2 linked regions of the Astyanax mexicanus genome follow. The protein of the gene in region 1 purifies or fractionates together with the protein of each later gene. This does not show direct contact. Links are inferred from orthologs where the notes say so. Each region holds a gene or a part of one and is shown on either strand. Other genes may lie near its edges.

The links.
Region 2: the proteins of irf2bpl (region 1) and vgll4b purify together in Homo sapiens (affinity purification with mass spectrometry; 3 studies listed by BioGRID and IntAct, counting the BioPlex papers as one, with this or other methods). This does not show direct contact. The link is inferred for Astyanax mexicanus from reciprocal best matches to the Homo sapiens genes IRF2BPL and VGLL4.

Annotation. Positions count from the first base shown.
Region 1 is NC_064421.1:18,442,370-18,451,517, forward strand, and holds irf2bpl (probable E3 ubiquitin-protein ligase IRF2BPL), read left to right. Parts: upstream 1-5,624; 5' UTR 5,625-6,069; coding exon 6,070-8,166; 3' UTR 8,167-8,899; downstream 8,900-9,148. UniProt on the Homo sapiens protein: Probable E3 ubiquitin protein ligase involved in the proteasome-mediated ubiquitin-dependent degradation of target proteins. Through the degradation of CTNNB1, functions downstream of FOXF2 to negatively regulate the Wnt signaling pathway.
Region 2 is NC_064431.1:14,401,895-14,410,651, reverse strand, and holds the start of vgll4b (transcription cofactor vestigial-like protein 4b), read left to right. Parts: upstream 1-5,215; 5' UTR 5,216-5,552; coding exon 5,553-5,634; intron 5,635-8,757. UniProt on the Homo sapiens protein: May act as a specific coactivator for the mammalian TEFs.

The sequences.
Region 1 (9,148 bases):
ATTTTATAATGTGGTGCTGGTGCACTTCTTTCAATTACTGATAAGATTGACTGACTGCTAATCAGCAGGTTCTTCTTCCATTCCATACTGCCCGACTTGGTATTTAGTGGCAAAATTATTTTTGTATAAATAATAGTAAATAGTAAATACTAGGACATTTGCAATGAACATATTCAACCCAAAGCACAAATAGCTGCCTTCCATATTGCAATTATTGAATGTAAGCTGTGAGTATATAGATGGTTTGATTGCTGTTTGTGCAGCTTTAGACATACCACTTGAAAAAATGCGGAAGATATGTCCTTTCATGATGAAACAGTGTAAAAACAGAACACCAGACCAGCATTGTTTTAAAATAATAATTTAAGAAAAACAACATGGTTAATCTGTGGCAGAAGAATAAAATCTGGATATGTTTTGGGCAGGCTGAGGGATGTTTTGGGCATGGGTTTATGATGAGATGAGATGTTTGTTAGCAATGCTATTCTAAAATCTTCTGTTCTTAACAAAAGAAGCACTTGTTAGATATCAATCCTAGCCAACTGACTGCATCTGTTGTAAATTGTAAATCATTTAAGTATATCTTTTCTATCAAACACTTACTTTGAATGCAGTTAAGATGAGTTTTGAGACATGTCAGGGTTTGTTTACAGATGTTTCAAAGTATACTTATTCTGGCTGATAACTTTATTTCCACACTTTAAAAAAAGGATAACCCTAACTTTTATATTGGGTTTAATTTCTAATGTTCAGTCTGATACTAAGGTGGGATATCCCAGCACAGTGTGAAATAATAGGCGTTTTGTAAAGATGAGCTCGGCACAAATTGTTCCTCAGTATAGTAGATGATGCGTGTGCATTCGTGCCTAAACCACAGTCTCATCATGAACCAGAAAAGAATGCCTCTGCCCATCCCTTTAAGTGAGGGGTGTGTTCCGGAGTCTGACATGTTTGCTTAATGCTGTGAGCTTGTTTGTGTGTGTGTGAGTTTATGTATGTGTGTGTAGATGTTCAGGGTCAGGCTCAGGCTCAGGCTTTTCCTGTCTTGTTTTTAAGAATTTATCCCCACCTTGTCACAGATTGTATTACATGATCTGGGTTCAAGAAAGCAAATGATGATGATAAATAAGCAAAAAATAATCTGTGTCCTATGGCAGAGTGTGTTTACTGAGGCATGCATACACTAGCTTATGTTTTCCTTCATTGTATAAGCAACGCAGGAATTTCTTGTAAATAGTCTGTATTAGGGTTTGAACTCATGATTGATATGAATACACAGCTTATGATACACGGCTTACGATTCAAAATATAATGATGTATTATGATACTTTAAACAAGGTGATTTATTGCAGTTGTTTAAATAAAACATAAATCACTTTTTCAATCATATTTACAGTAAAATCTGAGTGCAATTAGAAGAGGGGGGTCTAACTACAGAGAAGAACACTGCTATCTACTGATATTATAGATATTTTGTAACCTTTCTGTAACCACCAACTCTCTCTGGGTTCACCATGACTGGTCCTGTTTTAAACATCAGTGCCACTGCACTGGTTCCGTTTAAAAAAAAATTTAGGGTACGACATGAAAAAATGCATGCCTGCCTCATTCTCGATCGAGCCTCGAGAAGACGTGAAGGGTTAAATCCTTTCAAACACTGTTTGAAAAGGGAGGGAAAGAAAGAAGGACCAGCAGCGTGAGTGGAAATCACACATATGCAGCTAACTGAGCGGCCTGCGCAAGATACGCACATATAAGGAGCCCAAGGTAGGCAGTAACTCACAAAGCTGCTCTAGCAGCCTCTGGTCCCCATGGCAACGGCAGGCGGCCTCTATCGGCTCCATCTGAGAATAGGTAAAGTAAATCTGCATGCATTTGGCTACCCGCCAGTGTCTCAAATGAAAGAGCACTTTGAACGGCTGCCAGGTTTGGAGGAGGAGAGGGCCTGTCAGGCCTGCTTAATGTTGGCAGTTTGTACTTGGCAAGCCTTGCCTTTTCCCAGAATCCCTTAGTCTGGCAAGCTGCCAGCTGCTTAGCGGAAGCTGAGAGTTAACCCCTGCGATGGGCCTGGGGAAAGCTGAGCGCTGAAAACTTTCCACAGTGTGTGTGTGTGTGTTTTGAGGCAGCGAGGCACACAGTGTGATCTGTATGCATGAGAGGGCTGCGGGGATAGCAAAGAATCTCTCAGGGAGAGGGAAGAAAAGCAAAATATCCTGCGCCGTCTGCACACACAATCAGACCGTGCAGGTTACTGCAGAAGCTTTACCAGGAAAGTCTTCTGGATGCTAATTTGTGTTTAAGGCACTTCACTGGGGCTAGTTGTACAATCCTGATCGTTTCCAATGTTTATTTTTTGTCCCTACAAAAAAAATCAATGGATAACTCTTTATATATGAACGCTACTTACTTCATAGCATGTTCGTAAGCATTAAATAACGTATTTATAAAGCAATACTTGTGTATTTATGAATATGTGTTGTGTCAGTAGTCGCAATGTGACATAAGAAGAACCTCAAGCAGTGTATCATATTAAATATCAAATATCATATTTATATACATCTCTGAAAAAAAGACCACTTAAGAATGATGAAGTTTCTTTGATTTTACCAAATTGAAGACCTTTGGAATATAATCAAGAGGAAGATGGATGATCACAAGCCTTAAAATCAACCAGAACTGCTTGAACTTTTGCACCAGGAGTGGCATAAAGTTATCTAAAAGCAGTGTGTAAGACTGGTGGAGGAGAACATGCCAAGAAAATAGTGATTAAAAACCAGTGTTATTCCACCAAATATTTATTTCTGAACTCCTAAAACTTCATGAATATGATATGAATATGAACTTGTTTTCGTTGCATTATATGAGAAAAAACATATAATAAAACTTTAAATATTTTTTTTTTATTTGAGGTCTGAAATCTCTGCATCTTTTTTATTATTTTAGCCATTTCTCACAAATACCTATAAATAGCAAACTGAAACTGATTCAGAAACTGAAGTAGTCCCTTAATTTTTTACAGTGCTATATTTTTTAACTGTTTCAATTAATGTAATTGTATTTAAAACACCTTTAATACATTTTTCTTTTTTAAAGAGTAACTAAACCCCTTGATTTTAGGACCAAACATTTTTTTATTTTTTGAAGGTTAGGAAAGTTTTATTAAACAGGACTGGTATGTTTTACTACATTGCTGTTTACAAACATTGCTGTTTCGAGTCTGTGAACAATTATGTTAGGGCATTAAGTTAGACAGACTAGATACAGATAAAATAGTGGAGTGAACACAGATCGTATTTACCAGCGCCAAGATTAGCTTACTGTTTTATGAGAAATTCTGTAGTACAGATGAATTTTAGGGGGCATGCTTGCTTATCTAACAATGAGTGCATCAGGCAAGACATCCACTCTTTTAGTGATATGTTTGTACATGTTCATACGCAATGTTTTCCTACTGAAATTGGGTCTGCTTTACTGCAGTGTTCCTGCAGTGACGAGAACAGTCTCTGCCATTTGTCATTTTTTCCCGTTTAGAAAATACAAAATGGCAAACCAGCAATGAAATGTTCTGGTTGCTTGTTATTCTGGCACTAATAACTTGGTATATACTCAGGTATATGTTCAGATGTATTGTTAAATCTTTGAGTTATGTAATCTATAATTTCCCTGCAATATTTCTAGTAAATGGTATATAGAATAATAAAAATGGCTTGTGTAATGAGCTGCAGAAGCTATATTTGCTTACATATCTACACACATACACTGGCATGCCATAAATGGATGATAAAATAAAGCGTATGCATAACAAACAGCAGTATAGCAGTGTGGTACATGACTGGCAGTGTCTGCCTAGAATTGTGTATGCAGACAAGTGACTGGCATAAATCACAAACACTTTTAATGCAGATTAGTGTAGCGTTTCTCTTGTCCCATGACATTTATCTGATAAAAGAGACCATCTCTGTAAGACTAGGAGATGTCCAACACAAACTGTAGCAACAGATGACTGGACTGTAGATATACAGTACATCTGCAGTGCTGGACTACAGATGGACTACAGTCTGTAATTATGTACTGCAAATGAGAGAATGTTGGGAAGTGTATAAATGTTTGTATAGGTGTCACTCCATGTTTTGACCCATGTGTTCCGTGTTATTTTCTACCAGTGTATGCTTCCATACACATCCAGTCTGATGCACTTAGTATGCAACACTAACGGGGAGGTAAAAAAATGCCTTGAGCGAGGCTGAGGCCATGCCTGGTTGCTTTTTGCTCATACATTACATGTGTATTACATTTGGTGCCAGCAGTTGGTAGGGATTGCAATAAACAGCATTTTCCACATGTACAGCCAACCACCCCACCCCCCTTTGCATTCCTTCTCTCCTGGAGCTCTTATAGGAAATGTCTGTGTGTGTAGTCCTGTTTGAGTGAGAGAGCAGGGTTCGGAGCTTTGGGGGTGGGGCACTCTGTTTCTGTCTATCCACTCACTGAATGCAATCAGTGTGAAAATAACAGACTGAACCAGCAAAACTAGTGGGGTTTTTTTTAGATCACATTTATTCACGTTTATTTTGAATAGGGATAATTTAAAGGTTAGCATTATACATACATACATATGTTACTGTAGTGTTTCTAGGTGGTTGTTATGCTATTCCACATGGTATCTAGGTAGTTGTGCTGTGCTTTCCTGGGTAGTTACTCTATATGCTTTTGCTACACAGGTGCTTTAGGATTTAAGATGGCCGCTGTGCTATAAAGAAGTGTACATTTACAAAGTATTTCATAAAAATATAAAATTACAGTTTTGTCTACTAAATATTACATACTTTTCTTTACCTGAAAAAATTACTTATTTTCTGTAGAAGATTATGGAATTCACCTGTATGTATACTGTTCTATAACTGTTTTATCTATTTCTGTAAGAGAACAGTATATGTTCAGTCTGTATAAATGACAGTACCTTCATTTTATATATGAAACATATACCTTTGCTGGATAGCACACTACCAGTCTGGAATAATGGAGGAATTGTCTTGTATGTGCACAGACCTTAAACTGTTCTATGACAAATTTGCAATTATGGAATGTTTTTGTAAGACATTAGAAATTTGTTTTAATTGTTTATACATAGAAATTACCTTGTTTTTTATTTTTATTAGGGATGAATATTTATATTTACTGATTATTCATTATAATTGTCTTGTATATACACAGATCGTATGGAAATTATGTTTAAATTATTTAAGGAATTGTGCATTAAGTTAATACAAAGGAAATATTAGTGGTATTTTTTTTTACCAGAATATTAAAAAAAAATGTGGCATATTTATCACAGTGCAGGAAATCAGTACTGTAGTTTGCTGATGTAAGCATTTCCTCTGCTTGTAGTTCCAGTGTTGAAGTGAACAGATGTAGGAGTTAAACAGCAGTAAAGCTCGTACTGGTGACTGGCGAGTTTCACAGAGAGAGACTGAGAGCGGCTTGTTTTCCCACAGACCCTCCTTGTTTCTAAGCGAAAACTGCTCAATTTGGTGCGTCCGTGTTGTGTGTGTGTGCGCGCGCGTCTGTGTGTGCCAGTCCATTCAAAAGATTTAGTGGGGAGTGGTTAGCGCATGCGCACTCTTACAGCAACAAGTGGCATGTCGATGTGTAACGGAGAATAGCGCGTTGCTGCTGCTGCTGCTACTGCTGACGTCACCGCTCCGGCCAGGTGGCATTCCGCGCGCAGGGAGAGAGCGCGCGCTCGCTCGCGCGGAGGACGTGTAGGCACCGTCAGGAAAAAAAGGGAACCAAAAAAAGAAAAACAAAAAGTAAATCCCACTAAAGGCAGTAAAATGTGAGGCGGAACAGCGCAGCCGAATCCTGCAAGACCACCACCGCCGCTGCTTTGGTCCTGGAGCTCGAGGAGAGAGAGAGAAAAGGGAAAAGGCTGCAGCGCGTGTGTGTTCAAGAGAGAGAGAGAGAGAGAGACGAAAAGAAAACACAGCGCGCGAGGCTCTTCCCTCCCCCGTTTGCTCGCGCTGCTGAGCGGCTGAAGCGGAGCGGCGCGCGTGCAGCAGCTGCAGCAGCATGTCTTCCGCGCAGGTCGCTTCGTCACGGCGGCAGTCGTGCTACCTGTGCGACCTGCCCCGCATGCCATGGGCTATGATTTGGGACTTCACGGAGCCCGTGTGCCGCGGCTGTGTAAACTACGAGGGCGCAGACCGCATCGAGTTCGTGATCGAGACCGCGCGGCACCTCAAGCGCGCGCACGGATTCCAAGACGGACGCTCTCCGGGCCCGGGAGGCGCGGGGGTCGTACCACCGCTGCCGGTGCCCCCGCCGCCGCTGCCACCTCCACCGTCGTCCTCGTCGTCGTCGCTGCCTCCGCTGCCCTCCGTGAAGTCGCACGGAAAGGAGACCACAGTGCAGCTAAACCACGTGGACGGCACAAGCAAGCAAGCGCAGCAGCAACAAGCGGGACTCGAGCGCTGCTACTCCTCGCGCTTCGACTACACGGGCACGGGCATGAGCGCGCACGCGGCGCGCCTCCCCAACGGCCTCCTGAACGGCTTTCCGAAGACGGACGACGGACCTCCCGAGCTAAACCGCCAGAGCCCCAACTCGAGGCGGGGCGGCGGCACTCACGGACTGGTTTCTCTGCCTGCGCAGATGAGCGTGCCCCCTAACCTGCTCCCACAGACCATGCTTAACGGACCCGCTTCGGGCCTGGCCGCGCGCGCACCTCCCTCCTCATCGTCTTCATCCTCCTCCTCGTCGTCCGCTCTTGGACTTTCGGAACCGGGCAAGCGCCCCGCGTCCGTCTCGAGCACGGATCAAGAGCGCGAGGCGCGCGAGAGGCAGCGCAACGCCGAGGCTCTGTCCGAGCTCGGGGAAAGTCTACGCAACCGAGCTGAAGAGTGGGCGAGCAAGCCCAAGCTCGTGCGCGACACTCTGCTTACACTGACTGGATGTGCGCCCTTCGACGTGCGCTTCAAAAAGGACCACGCGCTCGCGGGCCGCGTGTTCGCCTTCGACGCTGTAGCCAAGCCGGGCGCAGACTACGAGCTAAAAATCTTCGTAGAGTACCCGAGCGGCTCCGGCACCGTCTTCTCGAGCGCTTCAGGGGTCGCCAAGCAGATGTATCATGACTGCATGAAGGACTACGGCCGTGGCCTTTCGTCCGGCTTCAAGTACCTCGAGTACGAGAAGAAACACGGCACCGGCGACTGGCGTCTCCTCGGCGACCTGCTGCCCGAGCCCGTGCGCTTTTTCAAGGAAACCCTGGGTGCCGACATGCTCCCCCAGCCGCACGTGGACGCGGGCTGCCCTCTACTCCCCTCTTCGGCTCTTGCCGGCATGCTCCCACGCGCCTTACCGGCTTCATCTGCTGCATCTGCAAGCGCGCTGCGGGCGGGAGCCCGCAAACGCAAAGCCTCTCCGGAACCGGACTCGCTCGAGGAGCGACAGCAGCAGCAACAGCAATGGATGGCCAGCCAAAATGCGTTGGCCGCGGTGGGGGGCTCATTCGGGGCATGCCACGGAGGACCACCACCACCATTGGGCCCTGTACATGCTAGCCGGGCCACTCCTCCAGAACCTGCACAGAACGGACAGTCGCCCATGGCGGCGCTCATGTCGGTAGCGGACGCTCTAGGCGGTGGAGGTGGAGGCGGCGGCGGGGGCGCGCATTCCCCGAAGGACGCAAACTCTGTGCACTCCACTACATCCGCACGCCACGGCAGCACCGGCAGCGGCGGCAGTGGCGGAGGTAGCAGTCCCGTATCTCCGGCTTCGGTCTCAGGCCAGCGGCGCTTGGCCTCGCGCAACGGCGACTCACAGCAGCAGCAACAGCAGCAGGCGCACGCGGAGCACGCCGGTGCGCACGGGGCCCACGGCGTACCTGACTCTCCCATGGCTGGCAGCGGTCCTCTGTGCTGCACCATTTGCCACGAGCGCCTGGAGGACACACACTTCGTGCAGTGCCCCTCGGTACCCGGCCACAAGTTCTGCTTCCCGTGCTCGCGCGAGAGCATCAAGGCGCAAGGCGCCACGGGCGAGGTGTACTGCCCCAGCGGAGAAAAATGCCCCCTGGTCGGCTCCAACGTGCCTTGGGCTTTCATGCAAGGGGAGATAGCGACCATTCTGGCCGGAGATGTGAAGGTGAAAAAGGAGAGGGACCCTTGAAATGCTGTTGAACATTTCAACAGACCGACTCAAATAAATATATATAAATAAATCTATATATATTATATATATATATATAAATAACCTTGTTGTGAATAATGTGTACAGAACACCTCACTCCTCCTTGTGTTTTTGTGTTTTGGGGGCTCTTGGAGCTCCCTCGAGCCTCTTGGGAAGGAGGACACTGTTGGCCCAGGACGGTGGAGAAGCACTTTGAGGTCACAGTCTGTTGTTTTTTTTTTTTCTTATTTTTACAAAAAAAAAAAAATCAGTTCACGCACTTCGTTTAAAGTGGTTACCACATCCCAAAAACACAACACAACTCCCCTTCCCCTTCAAAAGACCCCCACCACCCCACTTTTTTTGTACATGACATGTTTTGTCATTACTTACGGTAAGACGACTTGGTTGGTCACATGATTTTCCACGCCAATCAGTGTCAGTGGGGCATTTCTCTTCTGATTTTTTTTAGTGTTTTTTTTCTCATAATGATGTCTCTCTTTTATATCTCGTGCTCTCTGAAAGTATGACTATAGTTTACTACATGTTTTTCATTCCGACTCCTTTTGTTTTTGGTTTGGTTTTGTTTTGCATTAAAGATGCACGGATGCTTAAGAGTAGAGCAAAAATACTGTACATTAACTGCTCTGTTTGTTTATACGGTTCTGTAGTAACAGAAAACTTGTAACGTGCCTTGGAGCTGAGTCAATTGTAATAAATTCATTGGTATGAAGATTTTGTCAAGTGTCAGTTTGTTCAGTTCGAGATGCATTGGCACTGTACATGGTTTTCCCACACGGCACTGGTTTATTTGCAACATGTTGCACAGGACTCCTGTCTTATGATATTAAGAGGAATTTTAGGTTAAACAGGAGTGGTCTATTTTCTTTTGGCAAGCTAGCATAGTTCCAGAGAATGACTGTTTATTTCTTAAGCATGGTGTGATCAGCTTTCAGTGTGCAAGAGGTGGTTGGTGATGGTT
Region 2 (8,757 bases), on another chromosome or scaffold:
ACACTCGCGCGCGCGCGGAGAGGGCTGGCTGCGCGCGCGCGGAAGCAAAACCACACTCGCGCGCGCGCGGAGAGGGCTGGCTGCGCGCGCGCGGGGAGAGCTACGCGCGCGCGGGGAGAGCTACGCACGCGAGGAGGCAAAACACTCGCGAGAGTGGAATTTGCCACGCCTTCGGCTTGACAGTCGGGGGAGGGACCCAGATAGGGCTGGGGCGACGCGTCGACATAATCGACGTCATCGATTACAAAAATACATCGATTTGCATAACGTGCGTCGGCGCGTCGTAAACATGGCGGCGCCTGTGGAGAGCATTAGAGATTAGATCGGGCCCAAAAATTCCAACTGGCTGTTTTCGGGCTGTTTTAATGAGCGAAATATGATCAGAATTATGTTAATTAACACGGTAACATAGAAGCATAGAACTATTATTTAATTAAAATGATTTTTAAGAACAGCTAAACACAGTTCTGCAAGTCAAACGCGGAGGAGTTCACGTGCGAGAGACACAGAGAGAGAGAGAGAGAGAGAGAGAGAGAGAGAGCTACTCACAGGTGAAGGTTCTCTTTGATCTCCTCGTGCTCATATTCTAGTCCCATTCATAATTCTGCAGCTCCCTCAGTGTTTTCTGCCGTATTTTGCGGCTAGCGCGAGCGCTTACAACTGCGCGAGGTGCCGCCGCGTTTGTGCCGAATCCGACTCTCTGCTGAATCTGACTCCCGCTTCGCGGACAGAATCGGCACAACACCCCCGCTGTAGAACTGCGGTAGTGAAAACAGCGCTTATAAATAAATTAGTTTAGTTTCACTTTCAGTTTTCGTTATTTTTTTTTAAATAAAAATATAATTAAAAAACAGACGCCTACATCTCGGACTATTTTCTGGAGCCCGGGTCGGATTTACGGGCGGGCCTCGGGTCATGTCGGGTTCGGGCAGAGAATCTAAGCTCTAGAGAGCTTGGACTCCGGAGAGCAATCTCCAGCTACAAAAAAACGCCAGCGGGCATCTAAAGTTTGGGAGCATTTCACGCAAAAGGGCAACAATGTGGTCCTCTGCCATACGTGCAAAAGGAGCACTTGAAGCGCAAACATCCAGGAGCACTATGTCAACAGGGTCACACAGTAAGTTACCGTTTACATCAGGGTCTCCGCGGGTGTCCTTAAAAAGACTTAAGGCTGTCTACCAAAGGTTTTAAACCTGCCACAGGCAGAAATTATACATTTTTGGTTTATATTTGTGCATGGCATTTCGCAGTTTCCAGAAACAGTAGCATTATTCATACGTTCAGGTGTTTAGCTAAGCTAGCTGCCTTAAGTTATTTTAGCTAGCGCCGTCGGCGCTGCGGTGTCACACCGTTTTCTGTCACCGTCGGAATTTTGTGACCAGTGCTCACGGTTATGAGCGTTCATTGGCAAAACGGAAGCTTTCTATACCTACACCTTACCCTCAGCCCTAAACTGAACCGTTTTGGCCAGTCGGGGTAAACATTAGAAACGAACACGTTTCGAATCGGCCAGTGCACCGGTCTGCTGAGAACTACTTGCCAGTGGTCACAAAATCTAGCGGTCACAGAAAACAGTGCAACACACGGTTGTGATGTATGGGAGCTTATCCATTTTTAGCGTTATAGATCTAAACAACGTGTTGTACATGTAAGTGATTATAAGTGTGGGGTTTGGTTTAGTAGGCTTGTGTTGTTGTTGTTGTTGTTGTTGTTGTTATTATATATAAATATAGTAATTTATCGTTTGCTTTAAAACGTAAAATAATTATTTAAATATTTTTCTCAATGAATAGATTAGTCGACTAATCGAAAAAAAATAATCGTTAGAATAATCGTTTAAAAAATAATCGTTAGGGACAGCCCTAGACCCAGACAGGATTGGCTACGGCTGTTTTCCGGAAGTGGATTGTGATTGGCTGTTTGTCAATGTCATAGCACTTGCACGAAAAACCCGGGAATAAGACACAGAAGGCCCACTTCGGAAAAATGGCGCTACAAGGACAGCAGCAAGTATGTACCTAAATGTACATTTGTACACGTTTTAATAAATATGAATCCATTGCTAATGAATCGGCATTTGCACTCCACCATAAATAAATAGGACCTGTTAGGGACGTCCATAAGGGCCAAGGTCACGTACGTTAGGAGTCGCTCAAAAAGATGGCACTTCAGAATATTCTGCAAAGAACAATATATATATATATATATATATATATATATATATATATATATATATATATATATATATATTTAATTTTAATGGACAGGAAATATTACAACAAAAAATTACAATCAATATTATATAAAATTTTGAATTTTATGGAAAAAGGCAACAGCAATATATAAACCTATATGTAGTAGCCCCCAACCCTGGTCCAGAATTTCTGTTTCTGAGGTTTCTGACGGTTCCTACGCAAGTGTTGATAAGCATTAATAACCGCATATTTACTTCGTTTACGTTCATAACCGCAGATGAAATTTCCCCCCATTTGCCCTGCCATAGTGTCATATTTCTGCTAAGCTCAATTAGGTGCACTATATATCTAATAGTGAATACCTAACTGCATTTTAGCCAGCCTGAATGTGTATTCAGTGGCGACATACATACCCAGCAAACAGCTCGCGGACGTCCTTATTTGAGTATTTTTAAAACGTTTGCTATAGGACGTACGTGACCTTGGCCCTTATGGACGTCCCTAACAGGTCCTATTTATTTATTTAAGCCGAAGGCGTGGCAAATTCCACTCTCGCGAGTGTTTTGCCTCCTCGCGCGCGTAGCTCTCCCCGCGCGCGCGCAGCCAGCCTTCTCCGCGCGCGCGCGAGTGTGGTTTTGCTTCCGCGCGTGCGCAGCCAGCCCTCTCCGCGCGCGCGCGAGTGTGGTTTTGCTTGCGCCAAGCCCTCTCCGCGCGCGCGCGAGTGTGGTTTTGCTTGCGCCAAGTGACTTTGCTCGCTCGCGAATTTTGACACGGTTTTGACGCCATAGCCATGTATCGTGAGATTTTGGCCAACAACCTCCTTCCCTCAGTAAGAGCACTGAAGATGGGTCGTGGCTGGGTCTTCCAGCATGATAACGACCCAAAACACACAGCCAGGGCAACTAAAGAGTGGCTCCGTAGGAAACATCTTAAGGTCCTGGAGTGGCCTAGCCAGTCTCCAGACCTGAATCCAATAGAAAATCTTTGGAGGGAGCTTAAAGTCCGTGTGGCCCAGCGACAGCCACGAAGCCTGAAGGCTCTGGAGGAGATCTGTATGGAGGAGTGGGATAAAAACCCTGCTGCAGTGTGTGCAAACCTTGTCAAGAACTACAGGAAATGTCTCATCTCTGTAATTGCAAACAAAGGTTTCTGTACCAAATATTAAGTTTCTTTTTCTGGTGTATCAAATACTTATTTCCCACAATAAAATGGAAATTAATTATTTAAAAATCATACAATGTATTTTTCTGGATTTTTGTTTTAGATTCCATCACTCACAGTTGAACAGTACCTATGATAAAAATTACAGTCTTCCACATGCTTTGCAAGTGGGAAAACCTGAAAAATCAGCAGTGTATCAAATACTTGTTCTCCCCACTGTATGTAGAATTGGATATCAGCTATTATCTCCCTCTGCATGATAAAGTAAGATATTAGAAATTGTATGTATTTCCAGTTAAGTTTTTTTTTAGCATCAGGTAAATAAAAAACAAAATATAACAGAAAACAACACTTTTTCCTCATTTTCACATTAGGTCTGTAGGATAAGTCATATTTTTATTTTTTTTTTACTATATGAGTTTACTGTAGACTGTGGTCACATAACTGGAGGCAGAGCTAGGTCCACTCACACCAAAGTATTACTTATCCTGGAAAAGTGCTGAAAAGCTTTTGTGAAGTTTAAACTAATTTCAGGATCTTATTTTTTCATCTTTCACATAATATCCAGCTAGGTTATCATATATTGTAAACCCCTACTTCCCACCTACCAAAATAGCAGGTGTGAGAGTTGCTGTGAACCACAGTTTGGATCAAAGCACCAAAATTGAATCTTAACAATAGAACCATTGTTTGATTTGTTTGCAGTGTAAAAACATAAAAAAAGACTTTCAGGTTACTAACAGAAATTTAAGGAAGAATATCTTCACCAATTAAGCAATAGAAGAAGGAAATTAAGAGGTGTTGTGCTGAAAATGGGAATCTTATGCATATGGATTGTTTTTTACTAGAATTAAGGTGGTCTTTGACTTTAACACAAAGGAACTTTGTTTTGCATGCAAGTTTGTGATGTTGCACAATCTATACACCTGTGTCAGAACTTATCCAAACAATCAGCAGGTCTTGTGGGTGTTCTTGCTATGCAATGGTCAGTACCTACCAACAGTGTTCAAAGAAGGACAACCAGTGAACTAACGACATTCATGGGCACCCAAGATTCATTGTTGCTGATGGAAGCCCCACCAACCTCACCACTTACAGGACTTGCTGTAAGTCTTGGTGCAAGACACCTTTAAAGGTCTTGTGTAGAACTAGGCTTGTGGTTTAAATGCTTTGGCTGATTATTGTATATGGATATGTCAGGAGTGTGTGTGAGAGAGATATTTCACCACTAGAGGGCAGTAAAGTATAAATGGAAATCTCATTGGAGAACACCTCCTTATACCAAAGCTTATCCCAAAGGTTCTGAACAAGGGCTTTTATACCCTCTAGTACAGTTCTGTTTGGGTGAGTAAATTGTAAAGAGTGGAGTTTACGTTTTAACTGTGCTTTTGGTTGGTTTTGGCCTCCTTTTGATTTTACTATTACCCCCCTCCCCTGTGCAACACCAGTGTGGTGCATGCTTGTATTACTGTCTTTGTGAGGACTTGTCCATTTATAAAATTTAGTGGAATTGCATGGATTTGGAAACACCTTAGCAGCCCCATAAAAACTTAGCAACAACTTAGCTACATACATTTCTAGTTTTTTTTTTTTTAACAAAAAGTCACAGTTCTGTCTAAGATGTGTTGTATAGTTGTACAGATGTGTGCTTTTCAACATCAATAGGATCCTAAAAAGCACTAAACACACACACACACACACACACACCATATATACACCTTTCTCCACTCTCCTCTCCCCTTCAGGAAAAAAAATCTGATATTTGAGGCGCTCTTGGGATTTTATTTTTTGCTGCGCATGCGTAGTGCAGCCCAGCTCCTCGCGCACAGGCAGGAAGCTCCCCGCGCGCACACGCTCTCACCTCCATACCGAGCAGAGGCAGCGCGCGAGCGGCGGTGCAGTCGACTTACAGCGGGCTGTGAGGAGAACCGGCGCGATTATTTTGTTTTTGTCCCCGATTCATCGATTAAATCCTTTTTAATCGTTTGCATTTGATTATAATCGCGTCGTTTAAACGGGCTGAACGTTTTTTCTTTATTTGTTTGTTTTTTTTTTTCAGCACGGGAGAAGTTTAAAGGCTGGGCCTTAAGCTTTTGAAGGGAGAAACAAACCACAAACTAATTTAACATTTTACATTTTGCAACTTTATTCGCGAGCAAAAAAGCTGGTCTTTTTGCTGTCAAGTGTGATAAATAAATGCTTCTTACGAAAATGGACCTGTTGAACTACCAGTACCTGGACAAAATGAACAACAACATTGGCATTCTCTGCTATGAAGGTAAAACAACGAGTTTATTTGAATATTTTGCTGTTAAGTTACGTAATTTATTTGTAAGGCTTTGTAAGGAAAAACGTAAAAAGTGGTCGGAAGTTGGTTTGTTGTTGAACTTTTTGTTCCACCTTAAATGCTGCTGCAGTTCCATTCAGGAGCTAGCTGCTACATTTAATGTGGAACGAGAAAAAAGTCAACTTATGCTGTTGCAAAGGTTATAATAACTTAATTTAGGCAAATAAGTTGTAGGTAATAGTAACCGTTTGCGATATGTTCTTGCTGAAAAATATCGAGATACTGAATAATTAGTATAATTTTAACTTTAAGAGCTGTAGTAAAACCTCTGGTTTGAAACACGCTGACTCTGGTTTGTTGTTGGACCTGTCCACCTTATATGCTAATATTAATAGGGCGTAAAACACTATGAAAACTTTACTGGGTTCTTTAGATTAATTTGCCAGTGTTAATGATAGCAAATACGTCAACAGACGTAATAGCACCTAATAATTATCAAAGCTAATAGATATTCAATCTCGGCGCCTAAATAGACCTGCTGCAGAGTTTAAGGTGGAACGGAAACTTCCAAAACCAAGCGAACTTTCGCGTTTGGGAAAGTTATTCTGACTTCAATGTTATGTTTTTCACAGTTAGAAAAGATTAAATTGCCTTTTTTAGGCAAATAGACATGCTCTAATTTATTTTTACATTGAATTTCAAAGAATAAAAACTCACAAAACGTGTATGCTGGTAGGGTTAATATATTGCCCAGTCCCAACGTTTTTTAACATTCAGCATGTGTTCTCTCTTGTGTAAATATCTTTAAATTGACCTATTTTACTGTAATTATACCAGTGCTATAATTGTGCTGCTTCATATCATGGTGATTGTATGGGTTTAAAAGATCTACATGCACTTAAACAGTCTGTTTTTCCAGTGTGTACTCAAACTGTTTTTCCCACCGCACTATTGCTTTGGCTGTTTTAAGACTTGGGAAAGCCCATGAGTTCATGTCATAGACTGTGTCTATGGTTCATGTGTACTTGGGGTGCTTTATGGATTTTGGAGATTTCCTGTCTTACCCAGCTTTGGGTGTCTATAAAGAAAGTTTATAATCTAACACTATAAATCAGAGTGTTTGTCTGATATCTTTCCAGAGTTTTGTAACTACAAAATGTTCTTTTAATTATGTGTGGTACATTTCCAAATGCTGGTAGACCTCCCTTTGCCAAGTTGCAAATATTGCTGACACAGATGTGCAAATGCACACGCAAACCCCAGGTTGTCTAGTGCATGTAGAGAATAGAGAAGTATTGCCAATAGAATAGGACTATCTGGAGCAGATGAAGTAATAGATGAATCTGTTGCCACCATGCATAATATCAGGCCTAGAATAGTCTAGCAGGTATAGCGCCCAATCCCAGAGACCAATGTGGGGCACCTCTGGAATGATGGTAGTCCATCCAATACTTTTCGTGTTTTCGCTCTCAGATCGTCACTCAGTACAATCAAATCCTCACAGCAATGTTTGAAAATCTCATAGTGAGTTTTTCTGCCTAGTGAAAAATGAATGTGAAAAATGAATCTGAAGTCTGGAGTGTTTACACTAGGACTTAAGGGCTGTTCGGCGGGTGATTGTGGATGTAGTAATGGGGGTGATTGTAGAGGGTGTTGTGGGGTATCAGAGGGTGGTTGTGGGGGTGTTCTGGTCTGCGCCACTCCGTACCAGCCTCCTGTTGTCAGCCATCACTTGTCGAGAGCAGAAACGTGATCCAGGACCCTCTCTGCGCCGGGGCACGGGGGTGTCTGTCTGGCATGAGAAATGGAAAGCTTTTAGCTCCAACTTTCTGAAATTTAACAGAGGACAGCAGGCAGGTTCATCCATCACCTAAAGTTCAGAACATGAGCCGGGATGAACTGGGAGCAGGGGAAGGGTACGGATGTTTTATGGCTTGATCTGGAAGTTGTTACGGAAGTTGAGGAGTTGGAGTTTTAGGATCCAAGAAATAGACTCTACGCTGGAATTTATTCTGACTTACAGTTAGGCCTCTAAAGATAACCAATTTTGTTTGAATGGCATTGTCCAAGAAATATATGCGATACACAATAACCTGTGATACGATGTCAATCACAATACAGGGATTACGGTTAAGTATATTAAAATATACTGCAATACTATAAGCTAGGAAATATATATTATTTTGTATTCAATTTGATATTGTCCTAGTGTGAAATTTTTTTTTATAAAATCAATGGGTAAAGAAATGCATATTTTTTGATTCAGGAAGATTAAACAACACTAGTGTTGTCAACCAGTGTATGACACATCTTTACACCTAACTAATAATTAAGAATCGATAGTGCGTTTTTGAGACTGTGAGAGACTGTTATTAAGAATTTGTACAATATTGCTAAACACAATATCGTAATACTTCCCTATTTTCTTACACACCTACCCAAAAACAATGATGAAACACGTCCTCATTGTCTGAACATCAAGCCTATTCTTGGCTTAAATTGCAGTGTCTGTGATGAATCAGTGCTGTAAATGAGTTTAGGAGCGGGTACGCCTCAATCAAAGTCTGGGAACTGGCTGCAGCTGTTTATTGGATTGAAGGATTGACTGTATTAGATGTAAGAGTAGTAAGATGAGGTTTTCCAAATTATAGTACTAAAACTTTTTAACAAGCTCTTATTGTCATAAAAAAACTACAGATTTAGACAGATGTGTGGTGTGAACGGTTGAGTTTTATGTGGTAAATCATTATTTTTTTATGTTGGCTGTTTTTGTTGATGATAAATAAGAAGGTATATGCTTCCAACTCTTGTTTGTGATGTGTTTGTTTTCGCAGTTGTGCATTGTATCATATACACACTGGCAATTAGAAAAGGTTCTGTTTTAGCTAAAATGTGTGAGTGGTGGAATGGGCAAGTGTCTGCCTCCAAAACTGTAAAGAATATTACAGTAAACCTAAATAAAGTCAGTGGTAGGTGAGTTTGTTTATCTTAAATAATGTGTAACGTTATGTTTATTTGGGTTTTAATCTAGCATTCTATGAAGTTAATTACAGGTAGACACATTCACTGACCAGTGACTTTTTCTGTATTTGATTTTATTTTTTTTTTTATGTA